4 linked regions of the Neurospora crassa OR74A genome follow. The protein of the gene in region 1 interacts with the protein of each later gene in a biochemical or structural test. Links are inferred from orthologs where the notes say so. Each region holds a gene or a part of one and is shown in the gene's direction. Other genes may lie near its edges.

Region 1 (5,079 bases):
GATGGTATCCTCGAAGAATCATGAGCTAGGGGAGACATTGTTAGAGACTCAGCCGAAGCCATCCCACGTTGCATAACGTGGTTGTCGGACAATGGGGTACCTGGGATGGACGGGAGGGTATCGTTCGACTGCTGGAAGTTGGCGTTCATAGGATAACCAGGCATAGCGGTGCCAGGAGCGGAAGGCGTTGGGTCGGGGCTGTCGTCGTCGTCGGTGTCATGCATTTGGATATCTTCAGTGAAGAGTGACATGATAGAGAACAGTGATGACATGGGGGCACCGTTCCGCACTTCGGTCAGAAGCTGGTAGCGCTGGCGACCCGGAGCAAAGCCTTCCTCATCGTCGCTCTCGAACGAAGGGCCACTGCTTGAGCGTCGACCATCTCTGGCGGATTTAACAAAGATCTCCACCATACCGTCGACCACAAGACAGAATCCTTGCTCTTCTTCGAGGTTGAGGGTTTCGCCAGCGATCAGCTTCCTCGTTTGCATGCTGCGGGTCAGTTCATGGAAAACCGGCCTTTCCAGATAACCAAAGATTTTGATGGCGCTGAGAAACTCGTCAAAGTAGCTAGCTAGCCCAGACTTTACTCCTTCCTCCTGTGTTTCGGGGAACAGATCAACAGCTGGCTCTTTGCGCTGGGGCTCAGGAGGAAGCCGTGAGTACATGTTTAAGTAGCGATATCTGACTACCCAGGTCACTCCTGCCATCATGAACAACATAATAAGCACACTAAGCATACCGACGGTTAGATCCACCAGCCTTGAGTCCATGTATACAAAATGCGGCTGGCGGATGACTTACAGCGTAGTGGCGTTCATGGTCACCGTCAGACTAGTCGAAAAGATGTTGAACAGAAAGGTGGGTGTAGTGATGGTGGTCAGCTTGATGACAAAGTATAGCACACTCGAGATGCGGTGCAACAGCCAGAGGATGATGGTGAACCATGAAGTCGGGGTGTGTTCGGGAACCACATCGCTAGTAGCTTTCGAGACCGCATCGCTGGCGAGAGCGACGACAGACGAGAGGGCTTCTGTAGGATCGGCGAGGATTGCCGTCGCAGTCGTGGACGTTGTCTCGGAAAGCACCGAGCTCATGGCGTTGCCGAGGTTGCTAAGAGACTCCATTTTCAGAAGCCTGAAGCACCAAGCAAGCAAGCCAAGAGTTACCGGGCGAGCCCGTCGTGTAGATCGGTTCTGACAGAAAGAAGAGAGTGTGTATGTATGTTTTTGTTTTTGTGTTTCCTTTTTTTTATAGGGTTGTAGGTATCGCGGTAGTGTCGCGCCGTCGTCGTGGGGATGGTCGTGAAGAATAGTTGGTGTTCGATCGATCAGCGTGTCTGAACCCCAAAAGTACCGTCGCAACCTGATCAAGACCTATGAGCTGTCCCCTCCCCGATGTGCCTGTGGTTGAAACCCAACTCTTACTACCTGGTCTGCGGTGTCGTCGCTCTGTTCTTTTTCATATCGGTCCAAGTGTTGTCACCCAAGACGGAGACCGTCGAGAAAAGCGAAACGGGTGAGCTCCTCCAAAAGTAACGACATGTGCGGAGGGTTTAGATGAGCCCAGTGTCGTCGGGTGTTGGTCGGCCCTCGGGATTCGTTTGGGTGCCGTGCAAAAGTCGAATCTCCAAGTCGCCGTTGGTGGACAAGCAAGGTTCAGTGATTGAAGCTCCCTAGCTCGACGATGTCCAAGGAAGATTCCAGGCTTATCAGTGACTAACCCCACTGTCGGTTCACGATTGACGTCGTTGTTCCTGCCCACTGAGCTGGCGCTTGGCACAGTGGAGTTCGGGGCAGGTGGAGTAAGTAGAGGTACCTAACCGAGAGCAGGTACCTGCCTTTGCGTACCGTTGTTCCCACCTGGGCTGCTGTGCGCTTCCTTACCTAGGTACCCGACTTACCCCACCTCAAAAAAAAAAGATGGAGCCGCGTCTCACTTGCCGTCACGGTCAGAACGTGAAATTCACCCCTCAATCCGGCGCACCAGCCACAGCCTACTTCGTTCCCTCCCAAAGTGCCCACGCCACTTTTGCAGCCTGTCTGCACGTAATTTTTGGTTGGTACCCGAAAAATACTGCGACGCATCTGGCTAACTTTGAGTGAGTCCTTTGAGCCTCGCTGGACCCTCCGAGAACCCGCTGCCGCAACCAGAACTCGAACTTCCAGAGGACCTTTCCCAGCTGTGGCCACTTGCAGCGAAACTCGGTCAATTTTCTTTCTCGGCCATCAACCCCTCCAGACCATCCACTCGAATTCCATCTCGCCCATTGTCGCGAAGCTCGTCGCCGACATTACCCTCCCCCTTTCAACACCACTAACACCACCACTTATTTCACCGTTTGCCCCGCCCGGGAAAAGGCACCAGTCGCCAACATGTCGCTCTCAAACTGCCGTTTCTATGAGGAGAAGTATCCTGAAATCGACTCGTTCGTTATGGTCAATGTTAAGCAAGTACGATACACTGGGGTCCCGGTGGTGCGCATGCGCATGTGGATGCGTCAGAGCTGACCCCCAGATTAGATTGCCGATATGGGCGCCTACGTCAAGCTTCTCGAGTACGACAACATCGACGGCATGATCCTGCTCTCTGAGCTTTCCAGAAGACGTATTCGTTCCATCCAGAAGTTGATCCGTGTCGGTCGCAACGAGGTCGTCGTCGTTCTCCGTGTCGACAAGGAGAAGGGTTATATCGATTTGTCCAAGCGTCGTGTGTCCCCCGAGGATATCGTTCGTTGCGAGGAGCGTTACAACAAGAGCAAGATCGTCCACTCGATTATGCGCCACGTTGCCGAGAAGACTCTTGTTCCCATCGAGCAGCTTTACGAGACAATAGGATGGCCCCTCAACAAGAAATACGGCCACTCGCTTGATGCCTTCAAGCTTTCGATCACGTACGTCATTCCGGGAAATAGGCGTACAGCTGTGGGACAAAATGGCGGTATTGGACAAGATGCTGACATGGATGTGAAGCAACCCCGACGTCTGGAATGACATCCAGTTCCCCACCGAGGCCGTTGCCGAGGAGCTCAAGACCTACATCAGCAAGCGTTTGACTCCCCAGCCTACCAAGGTCCGTGCCGATGTTGAGGTCACTTGCTTCGGCTACGAGGGTATCGATGCTATCAAGACCGCTCTCCGCACTGCGGAGGCTCGCAACACTGAGGAAACCCAGGTCAAGTGCAGACTTGTGTCCCCTCCCCTTTATGTGTAAGTCTTTGCCAGAAATAGTCTTGCAATGTTGAAGACAGAGTGGAAGCTAATAACTATACACAGCCTTACCAACACCTGCTTGGACAAGAATGCCGGTATTGCCCGCCTTCAGGAGGCCATTCAAGACATGCGGACCAGCATCGAGGCTGCTGGTGGCCACCTTGTGGTGAAGATGGAGCCCAAGGCTGTCACTGAGTCCGATGATGCTGAGCTCCAAGCTCTTATGGAGAAGCGTGAGCGTGAGAACGCTGAGGTCAGCGGCGACGAGAGTGTCAGCGAGTCCGACGACAATATCCCCGAGACCGTCTAAAGCGCCTCTTCATTTTGCAGCCATTCTTAAACGGAGCTATCTTTGCAGGCTCATTGGGATACTCGACACTATTTTGAGGAAAGGTTTAGGGATGCATGTATACAGTTTTTGCGACACAGGGCTGGCGTCTAGGGGATACAAAAGTCCTTCAGGCGGTAGAGGAATCAACCAAAAGATTGCATCAAGCGTATGCCTAATGAATGTGAGCGAGGGACGAGGATTGATGAACACAAGACTTGATATGGATACATAGTCATTTTATGGATGCACTTGCTGTAACTAGGTAGATCTAGGCGTTCAAGGATATGCAGCTACCGGGGCTGATAAGCGATCTCATCGTTTTCTTATCGCCGCCTGCCCGGGCATGTGGCTGCAATTATTGTCTTCTCCATGTTAACACACAAGCTCCGTACTGCTCACTGCCCTGCTCACTGAGCACGTTGAGGCGAACATACGCCCTCTATTTCACAGCAGCATTGCGATTCACAGCAAAGAGTTGCATCGCATTGACATCTTCGGTAGCTCGATAACTCGCTTGGTCGGATAGCGATGGCGGCGCGATGGGGAGCAGGAATTCGGAACGGATTCCTCGGTCAGTTCTCACACTACCTCATTCGCTACGCAACATGGATCCCTCCATTGGTGGTCTTCAACGGCTGGGTTGCCGAGATCACACAAATCAAGGGGCCGTCCATGTATCCTTTCTTCAACCCGCACTACAATGAGTCAACACGTCGGGACATCGTACTGGTCTCTAAGTGGTACCCGGACCGGAACCTCAAGCGCGGCATGATTGTGACCTTTAGGTGAGATCCAAAATCTCATCCTACAGCATCTGGCGTGCCGCATTCGGGGCATTGGTTGGGAACCTGACGACTAACTGTAACCCAGAAACCCACTGAACCCAAAGGGAAAGGTCGTAAAAAGAGTGGTCGGAATAGCAGGCGACGTGATCCGTACCAAGGCGCCTTACCCGCATGAATACGTCCAGGTACCAGAAGGGCACATCTGGGTAGAGGGAGACGGCGACAAGACCAAGGACAGCAACTACTACGGCCCGATATCAGCGTGCTTGGTCACCGGCCGTGTCACGCATATTCTGTCGCCGTGGGATCGATTTGGGCGGGTAAAGTGGTGGGAGCATAACTTGCGACCGGGGATCAAGAAGGCACGCCATCTGCTGGAGTGAGCCATTGCGAATCGATACACACCTTGTTTGCGTGAATGGTTCATATTCACACATGCTGCTTTCTTGGGTGCACACACAGTCCTTGTGGGTTTGTAGACGAGATAAGATGCTCATCGTCAACAAACACCACGGGTGGGAAACGACAAGGGTGGCGGCAGTCAAACAAAGAGGAGGAAACATCAGCAGTTTCAGTGCTGGACCACAGGCCTCTGTTTGTTTACTATTGTCTCAGGGGGGTGCCGAGAGGTCGACTGATGTACAGAATATTCGAGGGGTCCGATGGTTACGTGCGGGTTAACAACACGCACGAGCCACATCGATTGCTGCATGAACCCTGCAACCCGACGGTGCGCCCGAAAAAAGGTGCG
Region 2 (5,213 bases), on another chromosome or scaffold:
TTATTATTAATTATTATTATTAGTACTTCGGTTACGGTTATCCTTATTTGGATTCGAAGGTCCTACCCCGCTTTAACCCTAATAAGTCCGCAACGTTTATAATAATAATAATAATAATAACGGCGGTAGGTAAGACCCTTTATTGTTACCCTTACCTAGTGCTAATACCTCCTTCTTATTGTCGGTTAACCCCGCCGAGTTATTTTTTATATTTCAACCGTCCCTTCAATAACGAAAGTCGGTACTAACTATATACAAGGAGTATATTATTTATAAGGCGCTTCGGACGTATACTAAGATGGATTATAAAGAGATTGCTGCCGCCCTCAATTTTACTATTAAATAAGTTCAATATACTTATCTCGTTAAGGCTATCCCTTATTACAATTCGGGGGGTAGACCCCTTACCATTCCGCCGGCCGTTGTTAATATTCTCTTTTAGTATATAAATACCCCTATAAAATCGAAAAGATTCTTATTGTAGGTAAAATTGGGGAAGTATATATTTAAATTTAATAGCTACGGTTGCGAGGCTATTTAAGCTGCAATAGAGATTTAGGGTGTCCGTTGCATTGAATAACTAATTTATCTTCCTCTAAGCGATAAGACCTGTCGTTTCCACTTTAAATTTGCTTTATGGTACGCCGGCTTTACCCTATTGGAATAGGAGATTTGGATTTAGTTTAATGAGACGTAGGTAAATAGCGTTACTTAAAGCTGTTATTTCGTTACCCTTTTTAAGGATGAGAAGGTTAGCGACTTCGTTAAAATTAAAATTAGAGTTCGGGGATGGATATTTTAGATTTACTTTATAGGTAAAAAAAAGGGTACATTCCTCTTTTGGAATTATAAGGATTGGGGTACGATTACTAGCGATATTTACTAGAAGTATGTCTTCCCTTTTCTGCGGTAATTTTGGTAAGAGAATTCGTTTTTTGTCGTTATGTAAGACAATGCACTAGCTTATAGTTCGAAGTTAACGAAGGTATTTATAAAGGATGCTTTTGTTGGCGCTACTATTGTCGATTGGCCGCCCTACTCCCTTGATTTTAATTCTATTGAGAACGTTTGGGCCTTTATGAAGAGATGGATTGAGTGTGAATACCTAATTAGACTGATTGGGAATAGCTTTAAATTGGCTATCGAGAAGGCTTGGGAGGTTGTATTAGAGGACTACTTACTTTGCTTAGTATATTTAATGCCTAGAAGGCTTGAGGCGGTTATTAAGGCAAAAGGCGGGTATACCGACTATTGATTTGGCTGAGGTTACGGTTACAATTGTGGTATTTGAGAATCCCTGGTTTTAGTATGTGAAATTGATTGATTTACGGTAGCTTTGTTGTCCCTGTTCTTCCTGTGCGGGCCTCGTATGCGTAATTTGATTGGATTTATCCCTAGTCGCCTCCCTTGTCAAAACCCCTGTATGTACCGAGCTAACGAACTTTCCAGGGCTCAAGTGTACTATTCACACTACTTAGTACCTTCCCTTTCATACATGTTGCCGTTTTTGTGCGGCCAAGGGAGATGCTAAGCACTATCGTGTTGTAGTGTACACGACTAGGACACGAAGTACTGTTCAGTGCCGGTGCTATGATGTGCTTGATGCGGCTACTTCAGTTGTCATGATCGATATGATGGGAGCCCAAATGCGGCTAGTGATTTCCAACGCCACAATTTTCCACTGATGAAAGTTACCACCTGTAAGGCTCAGTGCAGTTGGTACGCGGTACGGTAAACTTAAGGCCCCGATGGTACGTACAAGCCACAGGTGATAGCCCTGCGCCCCACCTCCAAGCATGCAGTACCTTACGGAAAACACAATGTGAAAGTTTGGACAAATTGGGTCACTGCGTTGACTCATCATTGCAAGGTTTTGGTACCGCACGGCGGCCGAGGCAGGCGCATCATCAACCCCAGCTTTGAAGTTCAAACGCGCCGTTCTTGACATTGTGCAGCCCCACCTTTTTCCTTCTACCACAGTCTTCCCCGCGCTTCCCGATCCGCGGCCACTTACTCAACCAGGCCCTCGTCGACCCATTCCTGTAGAGTTCGAGCTGATAAATAGACTTCAGTTGGCAATGTCGGGCAAGCAAGTCAGCAAGGGCGGGGCTGCCAATAAGTCCAAAAAGCCCGCCAAGGGCGGCGCCGAGGAGAAGAGAGAAGATGCTCTCCAGGCCGTCATCCTCGCCGATTCTTTCCAAGATCGCTTTCAGCCTTTCGCGCTTGAAAAGCCCAGGGTAAATGCCTTCATGCTTCGTGCTAAATGCTTCGTGTCCCTTGTCCCTGGTGACCTCTGAGTACTGACGGCCTTCTCCTGACAGTGTCTCCTTCCGTTGGTCAACGTGCCCGTTATCGAATACACGCTCGAGTATCTAGCCTCCAACGGCGTCCAGGAGGTCTTCATCTACTGCGGCGCCCACTCCGAAGACGTCGAAACCTACATCCACGACTCTGACCGATGGAGCCCTGAAAGCAATCTCTGCCCCTTCTCTTCTGTCGACTTCATCCGCGTGTCCGACGCAAGCTCCATCGGTGACTTTTTGCGAGATCTTGACAAGCGCAGTCTTATCTCGGGTGACTTCATTCTGATTCATGGCGATGTTGTCGCAAACATCCCCCTCGATGGTATTCTGGCTAGGCACCGCGCAAGGAGAGAGGCCAACAGAGACGCCTGCATGACCATCGTCTTGCGCTCAACAGGAGACAGCCCTCACCGGACTGCAAAGGCCCGGGGCATTACTCCTGTCTTTGTTGTCGACCCCACCAACGGCCGTTGTCTGCAATATGAAGAGATGCACCCACTTCAGAAGGACAAGTATGTCAAGTTGGACGAGTCGGTATTCGAGTATGCTGAGTTCGACTTACGCACCGATCTGATCGATTGTGGCATCGATATTTGCACGCCAGATGTTTTGGCCTTGTGGTCCGAGAGCTTCGACTACGAGCTTCCCCGCAAGAACTTCCTTCACGGCGTACTGAAAGACTGGGAGCTCAACGGCAAGATCATCAGCGCCGAGATTCTTGAGGAAGGCTACGGGGCTCGCGCCAGCAACCTTCAGATGTATGATTGCATCAGCAAGGATATCCTCCACCGCTGGGCGCTACCGTATGTCCCCGATAGCAACCTTCTTCACGGACAAACTTACAAGTACAAACGGGGTCTGTGGTTAGAGGATGGCGCACACATCGCAAAAAACAGCACAGTAACCAAATCCGTACTAGGGAAGACCGCCTATGTCGACACCGGCAGCACAATCTCGAGCAGTATCATCGGAAGGAGGTGCCAGATCGGAAAGAACGTGAGGATAGAGAACAGCTATATCTGGGATGACGCGGTCATCGAAGACGGTGCTACTGTTCTGCATTCCATTGTAGCCAACGATGCAGTCATTGGTAAGCACAGCTACATTCCTCAAGGCTCTCTCATCTCCTACGGTGTGCGGATCAGCGCCGGAACACAACTCTCATCCAAACCCCTACCGAGAATATCCCTCTTTACCAGTGAAAGAGAGCCGGTCAAGACCGACATCAAACTGGTCGGAAACGATGGCAAGGGAGCCCAATATAAAGAGCCAGAAGACGACGAGGATAGTGACTCCGAGGATGAAGGCGATGCGGACCCCGCAGTTCTCCAAAGCTCTCTCATTTACTCTTTGGCTGGCCTCAACATTTCAAGCGAGTCCATCTCCACATTAGCGACCCATGACTCCGATGATGACCTCTCGGATGACGAGTACGAGCAAGGCCTCCAAGCCAAGACCAACCGGGAGCGCCTATCCTCCTTCGCGTCTGACGATTCCGCTGCCGCCGTCATGAAGCTCGACCAGTTTCATGGTGACGCTGTTCACGGACTTGTAGATGCCCTCCGTGCTGACGACAACGAGGATTTCGACTCTGCGAAGCTGGAGTTCATGGGTTTGAGACTGGCCAATAATGCTTCGGACAGCATGATGCGCAAGGCCATTGCCGTAGCCTTTGCCACTCGCGCCGCCGAGCTCATGAGTCCCGAAAACGGCGGTCTTGAGCCTACCAAGGCCGCTGGCCGGGCTCTTACGTCCAAGAAGGGTGCCGTCAAGTTCATTACAGAGGTTGGCGTCGGCGGAAACAAGGTCGATCTCCACGCTGAGTTTGCCCTCGCGTTGCAGAAAGCTTTGGCAGCCATTAAGGGGCTTGATTCTGCGCGCGCAGGAACGCTACTTGCCGCCATGCTGCAGCAGCTTTATAACTTGGACGTTCTCGAGGAGGAAGGTATTCTCGCCTGGTGGGCGGATGCCAGGGCTGCAGAGAATGATACACTCTCCAAGATCAAGGAGAGGAGTCGTGTGCTGGTCGAATGGCTGGAGAATGCAGATGAGGAGGATAGCAACGAAGACAGTGATGAAGAGGATGAGGATAGTGACTAGATGGGTTATCAATGGAAGTGCATGCTCAAGAGGGATGGATTATTTGGAAGAAGGAAGCAAGGGTGGAAGAACGAAAAGGGGGAGGTGTAGATGAACTTATACCCGCAGCACCTGCGACCTCGAGATATTGCTTGTGTTCTCTTTTTGGGAAGGGGAGAATGGATGGACGGGAAAATGAAGGAAAATTTGACATCCGCATACTCCTCGCTCTCAACACATCTTCCTTTGTATGAGCACGAATGCCTGTGATAATTTTATGAACTACACTGAGCAGCCTTACTAAAATGATGGCCTGAGTGCTCTCAGCATACAGGTTGTATAGGTGAGCGTCGTCAAGAATACTAGGTCGCAACAGTCAGAACCACCCATGCATGCTCTTTGCTTTCCAACTTTGGTCCTTGCTTCACACTCAACTTGCTATCTCATCATACGTACATCTTGGGTCAAAAAGTTTGGTGATAATGTGCACAATTATCTTACTGCCCAAACTCATCACCGAAGGACATCATCCTCACCATGAAGAATGCACTTATCAATCCGAAGGGCAAGTCTAACCATAGATTCATCCAAGCTTGTTGGCGGCATGAGACTTGCTGGGAATAGAAACGTCAAAAGGCCAGGAGTCTTCATGGACAGCCGCATTGATGTTGCCCACATTGTTACACCGTAGACCGTCCTCGTTTCACAGCGCAGTGGCTTAGTTCCCGTCGGATGGCTCCATCTGTCACTTGTCCTTTTAAGTGCTGAGTCATGGTCAAAGCAAAGGCGGATGGGAAGTTGGGTAAGGTGTAGTAGATTAACGGTTAGAAG
Region 3 (5,132 bases), on another chromosome or scaffold:
TAAGGCGGTCGGGGAGATGGAGTGGTGGTGGTGGTTGGAAACCTTGAGAAAGTGCTCGGGAAGAGTGTTGAAGAAAGCTGGAGAGCCTGGATAGTTTTGGTGGTATGCTTGGATGATGGTATGAGTAGGGCTATGGCAGCAAGGATGAGTTATGGTGATGGATAGCTATTCGCTTCATCATGGGTGTGCGGTGTCGCAACCCTCGACAATTATACCCAGATCAGTGTAATTACGTAGTGATGGCTTGGGTTAATATGGCGAACGAGGAAAGGAAGATCAGAACCTGCATGTTATAATAGTATCAGTCGAACCTAAAGTCAGCAATAGTAATGGGTATAATTGGCATTGTCTGATGATCAGATGTATCTGCAGAGCTTCAACGCTTGCTTCCACAAGTATAACGACAGTCCACATGCATTCTACACATGTCTGTAATTCTTCACCACCAATGCAACGCAAACTGTGCAAGAACGAAACATACCCCTTTATGCTAGTGTTCCCATACCGTAACGCCAAAAGAGCACTGTGTCCACCCCTGGTATCCCAGATTATACCGAAAAAATAGGGTATCGAGAATTGTGCTGCCGTCGCCTTTGACTCGAGTACCTCATCACCACGGTCGCCTGTCTGCCTCCCTCATACTGATACTGGCGTAGCAGCTCCTATCCAACCGGCAATGTTGAATAGCGTCTTGTTATACCATTGGACCTTGACCCCGTGCGCCCACTCCATGTACCGTCCCCAACCTGCCGGGCCATGTTAGCAACTGACTTTCCGCATCGTCGTTATTGTCTCCTCCCACAGCGCAAGCTGTCTTTCCCAAGATCTGGTTTTGGTTTGTCTTACTCCAATAAGCAAACTTGCGCCCCAAAAACTTGCCCGCGAACGGTATTAGCACCAAGTTCAAGAGAAGCTGCAGCTGCTCGAGACTCTGTTCCCATTCCTTTTGTGCGTCTGATTCGTCGTCGTACTCGGAGTCGTCCGAGCCTAGGATACTGCTGGAGATGGACGGGAGGGAGTCGACATCGTCGTTGTCGGTTGACGGGGAGTGGTCGTGGAGGACGTAGGAATCGGAGGGGGTGGACATGGTTTTGGATGTCCCGAATGCGCAATTTGTCTGTCTGAGGGTATCGCGTCTCTGGCCGGGAGTAGGTAGCTATCGTCAGTGTGGTTTGGATGAGGCGAGCAAGTGGTCGGCGCCGGCGCACGGTCGGTTGTCGCGGTGAAGATGGTACTGTAAGTAGCTATCGTAGCTCGGGCAAATTGCGATAGTTCGGGATGGAGACACTGTACGAATCGGCGTAACGCCTGACGTGTAGGATATTGTAGAAATCGCGTGGGACGAACTTGATTGCTGCTGGGAGATTCGTTGTCGGTTACGAACACAGCGATACACGGAGATGGATACCTCTACGGACTCGGCGCGCCTTCCAAGGTTCGTGATGGAGCTGGTTGTTGTCGGTGACCGATGACGGGCCACGGCACCAACTGCTGCAGCAGTGCAGCTATGCGATGCTGGAATGGACACCACTCACCTATCGCTGCCGCCAAGCACTGCACCGGACTGCAAGTGCCAGTGCCAACCCAACCGTGTCGGACTGTGCGGCCGTGGCTCGAGCGGGTTGAAGGCACCGTGCTGCAGGGAGGAGGGCTGCATGGCCTGGAAAATGGAGAAGCGGAGGCGATTTGTAGTTGCAAGTGGCGGGCAGCTGTCTGAGCTCTTCCCACCCCACTTGTCAGGTGATTGAGAAGACTGACTCACAGTTTCGCTTCAATCAACGTCATGAGGTGAACACAGCTGAGGCGTGGTGCCGGTGCCCCATCCAGAGCCGTGTGTACAGAAAGAACTCCGCTCAGTCTCCAGCCCAACGACAGAACTAAACGACAGTAGTAGTAGGTAACCAGACCAGGACCCAAGCGGCATCCAACTACCTAGGTCCCCGCAAAGAACAATTCCAGGTCCGAAACTGAAAGAAAGCTGAGATCAGTCTGCCTGCATCGATACCTCTCCCGACCCCAAAGTCTACCTAATCTCATCCATCGACAAAATCCACTCTCTGCGACCAACAAAGAGTCCACCGGAAGAGACATCGATTACAAAGAAAAAGACGGACAATCACACACCTACAGACAGACAGACAGACACCACCACACTCTCAAACACACCAGTGGCCCAGCATGGATTCTGAAGTAAGTACCTGGGATGGATCTCCTTGCTTCAGTACACACTCACTACCTCTACGCCCACACAACACACCCTCCGTCCTCCCCGACCCTACCACCACGCTAGAGGCAGACACCTCGAGCCCTGGGGGGAGCCACGCTTCTCGCCTAGTCAAAAATACTAAGGAAATAAAAAGTCCCATTCACCACACTGCACACCCCTCACTGTACTTTGCTACCTACGCAGTGCAATTATACCTATCCCCGGCCCCAGCCCTCAAGTCCCCTGACGTGTACTGCCCCTCCAAGGCGCCAACCCTCTCCCTCCACCCCCAGCCCAAAATCCACCATAAAGTTCTGGCACTCTGCAGCGCGAAAACGCCGCCAATCATCCCAAAAAATTCCGAGCTTTCCTATCCACACTCGACGGCGAAATCCTTGACCGCTATCGCGACTCCCACGACAAGCGCCTTATCCACTCCGATATACTAACCCTTTAGGCGCCCTCTATCAAAAGACGCCCCTCGCGCAAGTCTGTCACCTTTACCGACGAGAAGCTAGTTGTCAACCCCGACGGTTCTGTCACCATGGACGCCTCTCCCGCCGACGAAATCAAGGAGACTGCCCAGTCCCACTCTGCTCGTACGCCGCCCCTCCACGCCGCTCTCGGGGCCTTTACTGATGCCCCCCAAGCCACCGAGCCCCAGGATGCTGCTGCTGCTGCCGCCCCCGCCGCCGATGATGGCCTCGACCTTTCGCTCATGAAGAAGAAGAAGAAGAAGGTCAAGAAGGAGGACGATGCCGACGCCGCTGCTGATGAGGCCGCCCCTGCCGAGGGTGACGGTGCTATCGACCTCACCATGAAGAAAAAGAAGAAGAAGAAGGTCGTCAAGGAGGATGATGAGTTCGCCAAGAAGCTGGAGGCTCTCAACATTGAGGGCAAGGAGGGCGAGGAGGCCGCCCCCCAGGAGGACGAGCAGGAGGGCGATATGGACCAGGGCACCGGCATTTGGGCCCACGACGAGACCAAGCCCATCAGCTACAACGCTCTTCTGTCCCGTTTCTTCGCCCTTCTCTCGCAAAAGAACCCCGACCACGCCTCTACCGGTACACGGTCGTACAAGATCCCGCCCCCGCAGTGTCTCCGTGAAGGCAACAAGAAGACCATCTTCGCCAACCTGCCCGAGATTTGCAAGCGCATGAAGAGAGCCGACGAGCACGTTACTTCTTACCTTTTCGCCGAATTGGGTACCAGCGGTTCCGTCGACGGCAGCAGGCGTCTGGTCATCAAGGGTCGTTTCCAGCAGAAGCAGATCGAGAACGTTCTGCGTACCTACATTATCGGTATGTCTATTTGATCCTGTCGTCGTTTGGACGTTTTGCGCCCAAGTAGACAATGTCACCACCAGCACCCAACGTTTTGCTCTGACTACAAATGCTAACATGCTCAACAGAGTACGTTACCTGCAAGACGTGCCGTTCCCCCAACACCGAGCTCTCCAAGGGCGAGAACCGTCTTTAGTAAGTTGGCCTCTGTTTACGACGACCATAGCCCCAAAATGCTGACATGTCACAGTTTCATTACCTGCAACTCTTGCGGTTCTAGGCGGTCTGTCCAGGCCATTAAGACCGGTTTCTCTGCCCAGGTCGGCAAGAGAAAGAAGATGCAGGGTTAAGCGGTTTTTGTTTTCTTGTTTCGAGGCCCTTGCAGTTTGCTTTTCAATGTTTTCACGCTTCAAGGACGGAGTTAAGACGGCATTGTATATGGCTGGTTGGGCACGGGTCTTTTACGAAGTAGCACGGCCCCTCTGAACGGCAATCTCTCATCTCCAGTACACGAGAGAGAGGATGGAAGAGAGAGTCTGTGCTACAAAATCAGGTGAATTCCTTACGCGGTAGGGTACGGGTTAATATGACGATACTTGATGAAGAATTGGTACACAAAAAGTTCTGGTTTTTGATGATGGTGGCACACTTATCCTTACTTTGCATAGGGAGTCTGATAAAGAGGAGGGCTTTCTTCTTTTCCTGAGCTTGTCTGATTTATATGGATGAGGGCTGCGAGGTTGTATCTAGACTGATGTGGGATTCAGAGGTTCTCAGGTCATTCATGACCATGGTCAGCAAGCTAGACTGGGAGAGCAAGGAAGAGGCTGACTGAGCGCAGGATTACGAAGCGATGGATTTTGAGATCTTGCGAACAGGAATTATTCTCTGTTCTTTGCAGTATGTATAGCCATTCAGTCTACCTTTATAAACTACATTATGTTATCGAAACTCAAAGTGGCAGTTGAGTAAAATGATAAACCTTGATACTCCGCGATTGGTGAGAAAAAGCGGCCGCTTAGGTTCGAAATCTCACCTTGACGCGTATACATTGCGTATACACTACGTTCCGATGTTTTGGCGATCGATCCATGATATGCCGAGCACATGCATGATAGTTAGCTTCGGGAGAATCTTTCCCCTCCACATTTTGCATCAACAAACCCATATAAGACGATGGGCCGCAGGCAACAACTCAACGGTTCAACCTCGTCTGTCTGTTCGATAGATTAGTCAACACTTTCCAAGTCAACGCGTAACGTGACTCATCACTACTTTACCTGCTCGATTCCACTCATCACTCAAGTCTTCCCCTTCATCATCACAACCACCAGGTACAAGCCAAAATGACCATCCGCTAAACCGGCCCCAGAGGAGTCGACCAGCACATCCCCCACCCTTCTTCTCACCACCACAGCGACCTCGGCCGAGCCGCCCAACCGACCCAACAGGAAACGAACATGAACACAACCAGCAGCAGCAACATCAACCCTGGTCCCTCCTCTTCAGGCCAGGCCGGACTCCCCTCCGCCAATCCCAGCGCCTCCTACTGGCTGCAACCAAGCGATATTTCTCAGAGGCTTGATGATTATCGGTCCACGCATGATTTGCCGCAGTCGGCTGATACGGTGATTGTCGGGTCG
Region 4 (4,058 bases), on another chromosome or scaffold:
TAGATGTTTGACAGTCTTGGTGTCTTGCCAAATGGCCACGAAAGGTCATCAAGAGATTTAGACAAGTTGTTTGTTTGCGAGCTATGAAAGTATACATGATACCTGCAGCCAAACAGATGCCCCTGGCTTGAGAATGAGAGACGCAGAGGTGAGAGATGCCGTCCCTGAAAGAAACCGTACACAATACCTAACGACTTAGGTGCATAGTAATTGCCTGTTTGGGGGGGCGCTTTGCCGGATACAGATCTACCTAGATATTGGTGCGGGCTGGTTCTACACTAGCTTGTCGCATGAGTCTAGTGTACATACCTAGAGGTAGTTGACTTGGTTAAGCGTTGATTGATATTGCCGCCTTCCCTTGACAAAACATATCGCGTGTGTTTCGGATTCTTCCCGAATGCCGCCCATTTTTCACATCCCCGTAACTCCGAAGTTTCCCAAGGAGAGAAATTGGCTTTCCCAGACAAGCTGTAATTGTTGTGAGACACCCAGGCACACGGCGGAGAGGGAGACCGTCACTTTCACTTGACCGACAACTACAAAGGCCTCCTCCGCCTGGCTCGGTTACTGAAAGTACAATGAACCAAAGTGGAACTGGTCTCTGGTGTGGATGGATGGACATTGCACAGACACAGGGAACGCCCCCATCTGCGTGGATCTTCTAGTGTATACCGGCTGGTCATCAAAGAGTCCCGCCTTTTCATCCGGCCTTCTGTGTCCAGGTGCCTTCTGGCCACCGTCCGGCGAGTCAGCTTGTTGCAAGAGGCATTCCTTGGGCCGGAACTCGAGCATCGAAAGCAGAGGCGTGGAAACGCCGAGTGGATGAGGGGCAAAATGGCATCAAAATCTTTCAAGTTCCCTAACTTGCCATTCGGAACATACGCCATTGCGCGTCCGTCCTGTTGCTGTGCTGCCCGTTGCAGTGGGCGGGGAGATGGTAAGCAGGTAGGAATGGAACGCGACGGGACCTTCTTCCATTGTCGGTGTCGAAACGAAGTGTGTGAAAGAACGAACTGCACGCAGTACCTGCACGGCAACTGGTGTTGCCTGGCTTGGAGAACGGACACATGTCTCGGGTACTTTGCCCATAGCCCGCTGGTGGTGGTGATTACCTGCCAAACAAGAAGTACCCTAGACTTGCTCTGCCATGAGCCACAGGTACTACACTAGGTAGTGTACAGTACATGGGGGGGCTAGCCAGGGCACCACGAAAATCCTTTGGCCGACAAATCCTCTTGCTTGCTCGTCCAGTGACTGCCCGCCTTGTTGCCCGTGCCCGGTTTGGCTCCATTCTGCAGCACCGATCCACATCCACTTGCTTTCTCGTCCTTTTTTAAAAACTCTTGCTTGCTGCCTCTTTTTTGCCAAACTAACCTCAACTTCATTCTACCCATCAACCGCCATCAGCAGCGACATCGTCCTTGAATCTATCCAAGACCACAAAGGCGACCGGGCTCTCTGTCCATCTGTCCATCAACTCCACCTCCCCCGGATTTCGGGTGCCGCACCACGGAAGTGAAGTGAATCCACTATCCCAGCAGAAACCCACACAAAGTCACTCGACTCCATCCGCTCCGCTCCGTCAAGAAAAGGAAGCCCGCTCGTCACAGAGGGAGAAAAAAAATTTCGCTTGCCTCAAAAGCCATCCTCTCCCGCCCAGCTTTCTGTTCCAGCACCGCCCAGGTTCAGAACAACAACCACCACCAGACCCAACATAAGCATTTTGCGCGACACAGCGTTGTTTATGTATCAGCACGACCAGCACGCCGTCTTCCGACACTCTCCCCCCGTCAAGCTGCATTTTCGCATATCGCGGAAACCCTGTAGCTTCCAACAAAGTACCGACGGTTGAATCGCCATTCCCACGGTCGTCTGCCAGCGTTAATGCCTACCTTCGACTTCGTTAACCACACGGTCTACCCTATGTCAACTCAAAGTACTCGTCAATAACTGACCCCTTTGGCTCGTCTCGCCTCTCGATCTTCCTCACACGCTCTCCGTGCAACAAGAAGCCTCGCTTTCCACGACATCGTCGACCAGTCTACTAGTCTGCCCTCGTTAGGTATCGTCTACCAGACTCCCAACAAACTCCAACAAAACAATACTACAAACATCATCCTGTTTCGCCGTCAATACCGCCAAAATGGGTGCTCTTATCAACGTTCGTCGGGACAACCCCGACCCCTTCTACCGCTACAAGATGGAGCGTATCCAGACCAAGATTGAAGGCAAGGGTAACGGTATCAAGACCGTCGTTGTCAACCTCAGCAGCGTTGCCCAGTCCCTGGCTCGTCCCGGTGGCTATTTGATCAAGTACTTTGGTTTCGAGCTTGGTGCTCAAACCAACATTGATCCTCCTGATGACCGCTGGATCATCAACGGCTCCCACGAGGCCGCCAAGCTCCAGGATCTTCTCGATGGCTTCATTGCCAAGTTTGTCCTCTGCAAGAAGTGCAAGAACCCCGAGACGGTTGTCCAGATCAAGGACGAGAAGATCACTCTCGACTGCAAGGCCTGTGGCCAGCGCAGCAAGGTTGAGCCCCAGCTCAAGCTGACCTCCTTCATCCTCAAGAACGTCCCCAAGAAGAGCAAGAAGGACAAGGCCGAGCGCAAGGCGGCCCGCAAGGCTCGCCAGAACGGCGGCGATAAGGAAGGTTCCGGTGACGAGAACGGTTCCGACCAGGCCTCTCCTGCCATCGAGGATAAGAACATTGAATATGCTAGCGACGATGATGAGCTCACTCGCAAGATCAAGTCTGAGGCTCAGAGCTTGCAGTTGGGCAAGAGAGAGGCTCCCAAGGAGGAGGAGTGGGCTGTCGACATGAGCGAGGAGGCCGTCCGTGCCCGTCAGCAGAACCTTCCTGGCGAATTCAAGCAGAAGCTCGTCCTGAATGGTGAAGAAGACGAGGAGGAGGAGGGTGGAAACACCGTCTACGACCAGCTCGGCACTTGGATCGAGGATGAAGCCAAGGCCAAGGGTGGCATTAACAATGTCGACGATGTCGAGATCTACCTCAAGGCCAAGGAGCTCGGCATTGATGCCAAGCACCGCACCGTCCAGGTTCTTGTTCAGTGTCTTTTTGACGAGAACATTGTTGCTCAGATCCCCAAGCGTGCTCCTATGCTCAAGAGACTCGTTACCTCCGAGCGTCACGAGAAGGCCCTCCTTGGCGGTACCGAGCGTCTCCTTGCCGACCTCGGCAAGGAGTCTTATGACAAGATTGTCAAGATTCTCCAGCTCTACTACCACCACGACCTCTGCTCCGAGGAGGTCATCACCAAGTGGGGTAGCAAGGCTTCCAAGAAGTACGTCGATGGCTCTACTTCCAAGAAGATCCGCAAGGCTGCTGAGCCCTTCCTCACCTGGCTCGCCGAGGCCGAGTCTGAGGAGGAGGAATCTGAGGAGGAGGACGATGAGTAAATCATGTCCCTCGCCACTGAGGATACTACTTCCGTTGCCGCTTGATGCCTAGTCTAGCTTGCTCTTTTGTGTTGTTTTGAGGATGCAAAACCCAGAAGCAGATGGATAAATGCGTGAAAGGGTTGCGATCAGTTTTCTCCACTCACTCTCAGGTCTTGGTTCATGTTTGTCCCATGGTTCGCACTCAAGGGATGTCTTTTCCTGTGTCTGTGTATCGTTATCGGGGCTTTCATGGACGTCATCTAGTTAGTCGTTGAATTGACACGTCACTTATATCTCTACATATTCCAGTATACTGCTCAAGCGATGCCAGAAACATAATGAATGCCTGAATCTCTCTATCCTCCGAGCCGTTGTAGTCCTTTCCCGAAGCGGCTACGAGATATCATCAAGATCAAAGTGCCCGAGACAGTCGGTTCCGGGTGTAGGCGCCTTCATGTCGTTGTCGACGAAACAGTGCCCCATCGAGGTCTACCTACTTCAGCACATCGGGTTCCACTTGCTTGTTAGCTACTCTCTTATGGTCCCAATAATCTCCTCAGCATTATGTGTTATCGACTTGATGTTCGTGAGTGTCATGGACGAGTGCTCACTTTACTGTTAAGATGGCACCACTACGGTAGTACATCACGTTTAA

Evidence for each region.
Region 2: the proteins of NCU08277 (region 1) and NCU02414 form a complex in vitro, tested with the Saccharomyces cerevisiae proteins (2 studies listed by BioGRID). The link is inferred for Neurospora crassa OR74A from reciprocal best matches to the Saccharomyces cerevisiae genes SUI2 and GCD6.
Region 3: the proteins of NCU08277 (region 1) and NCU04640 form a complex in vitro, tested with the Saccharomyces cerevisiae proteins (3 studies listed by BioGRID). The link is inferred for Neurospora crassa OR74A from reciprocal best matches to the Saccharomyces cerevisiae genes SUI2 and SUI3.
Region 4: the proteins of NCU08277 (region 1) and NCU00366 form a complex in vitro, tested with the Saccharomyces cerevisiae proteins (3 studies listed by BioGRID). The link is inferred for Neurospora crassa OR74A from reciprocal best matches to the Saccharomyces cerevisiae genes SUI2 and TIF5.

What each region holds. Positions count from the first base shown.
Region 1 is NC_026504.1:2,568,927-2,574,005, reverse strand, and holds NCU08277 (eukaryotic translation initiation factor 2 alpha subunit), read left to right. Parts: upstream 1-1,938; 5' UTR 1,939-2,375; coding exon 2,376-2,453; intron 2,454-2,522; coding exon 2,523-2,893; intron 2,894-2,972; coding exon 2,973-3,209; intron 3,210-3,275; coding exon 3,276-3,522; 3' UTR 3,523-3,913; downstream 3,914-5,079. Other genes in the region: NCU08276 (hypothetical protein), read right to left, coding at 1-732, 805-1,127; NCU16791 (mitochondrial inner membrane protease subunit 2), read left to right, coding at 4,072-4,328, 4,414-4,711. UniProt on the Saccharomyces cerevisiae protein: eIF-2 functions in the early steps of protein synthesis by forming a ternary complex with GTP and initiator tRNA. This complex binds to a 40S ribosomal subunit, followed by mRNA binding to form a 43S pre-initiation complex.
Region 2 is NC_026507.1:2,572,637-2,577,849, reverse strand, and holds NCU02414 (translation initiation factor eif-2b epsilon subunit), read left to right. Parts: upstream 1-1,856; 5' UTR 1,857-2,078; coding exon 2,079-2,237; intron 2,238-2,321; coding exon 2,322-4,403; 3' UTR 4,404-4,822; downstream 4,823-5,213. UniProt on the Saccharomyces cerevisiae protein: Acts as a catalytic component of the translation initiation factor 2B (eIF2B) complex, which catalyzes the exchange of GDP for GTP on eukaryotic initiation factor 2 (eIF2) and is regulated by phosphorylated eIF2.
Region 3 is NC_026505.1:1,363,438-1,368,569, reverse strand, and holds NCU04640 (eukaryotic translation initiation factor 2 beta subunit), read left to right. Parts: upstream 1-1,812; 5' UTR 1,813-2,178; coding exon 2,179-2,190; exon of another isoform or gene 2,191-2,663; coding exon 2,664-2,805; intron 2,806-2,856; coding exon 2,857-3,507; intron 3,508-3,617; coding exon 3,618-3,684; intron 3,685-3,739; coding exon 3,740-3,839; 3' UTR 3,840-4,486; downstream 4,487-5,132. Other genes in the region: NCU04639 (non-classical export protein Nce102), read left to right, coding at 1-3; NCU16952 (hypothetical protein), read right to left, coding at 637-746, 847-1,087; NCU04641 (FAD dependent oxidoreductase), read left to right, coding at 4,950-5,132. UniProt on the Saccharomyces cerevisiae protein: Component of the eIF2 complex that functions in the early steps of protein synthesis by forming a ternary complex with GTP and initiator tRNA.
Region 4 is NC_026503.1:3,590,980-3,595,037, forward strand, and holds NCU00366 (eukaryotic translation initiation factor 5), read left to right. Parts: upstream 1-1,258; 5' UTR 1,259-2,143; coding exon 2,144-3,421; 3' UTR 3,422-3,760; downstream 3,761-4,058. UniProt on the Saccharomyces cerevisiae protein: Catalyzes the hydrolysis of GTP bound to the 40S ribosomal initiation complex (40S.mRNA.Met-tRNA[F].eIF-2.GTP) with the subsequent joining of a 60S ribosomal subunit resulting in the release of eIF-2 and the guanine nucleotide.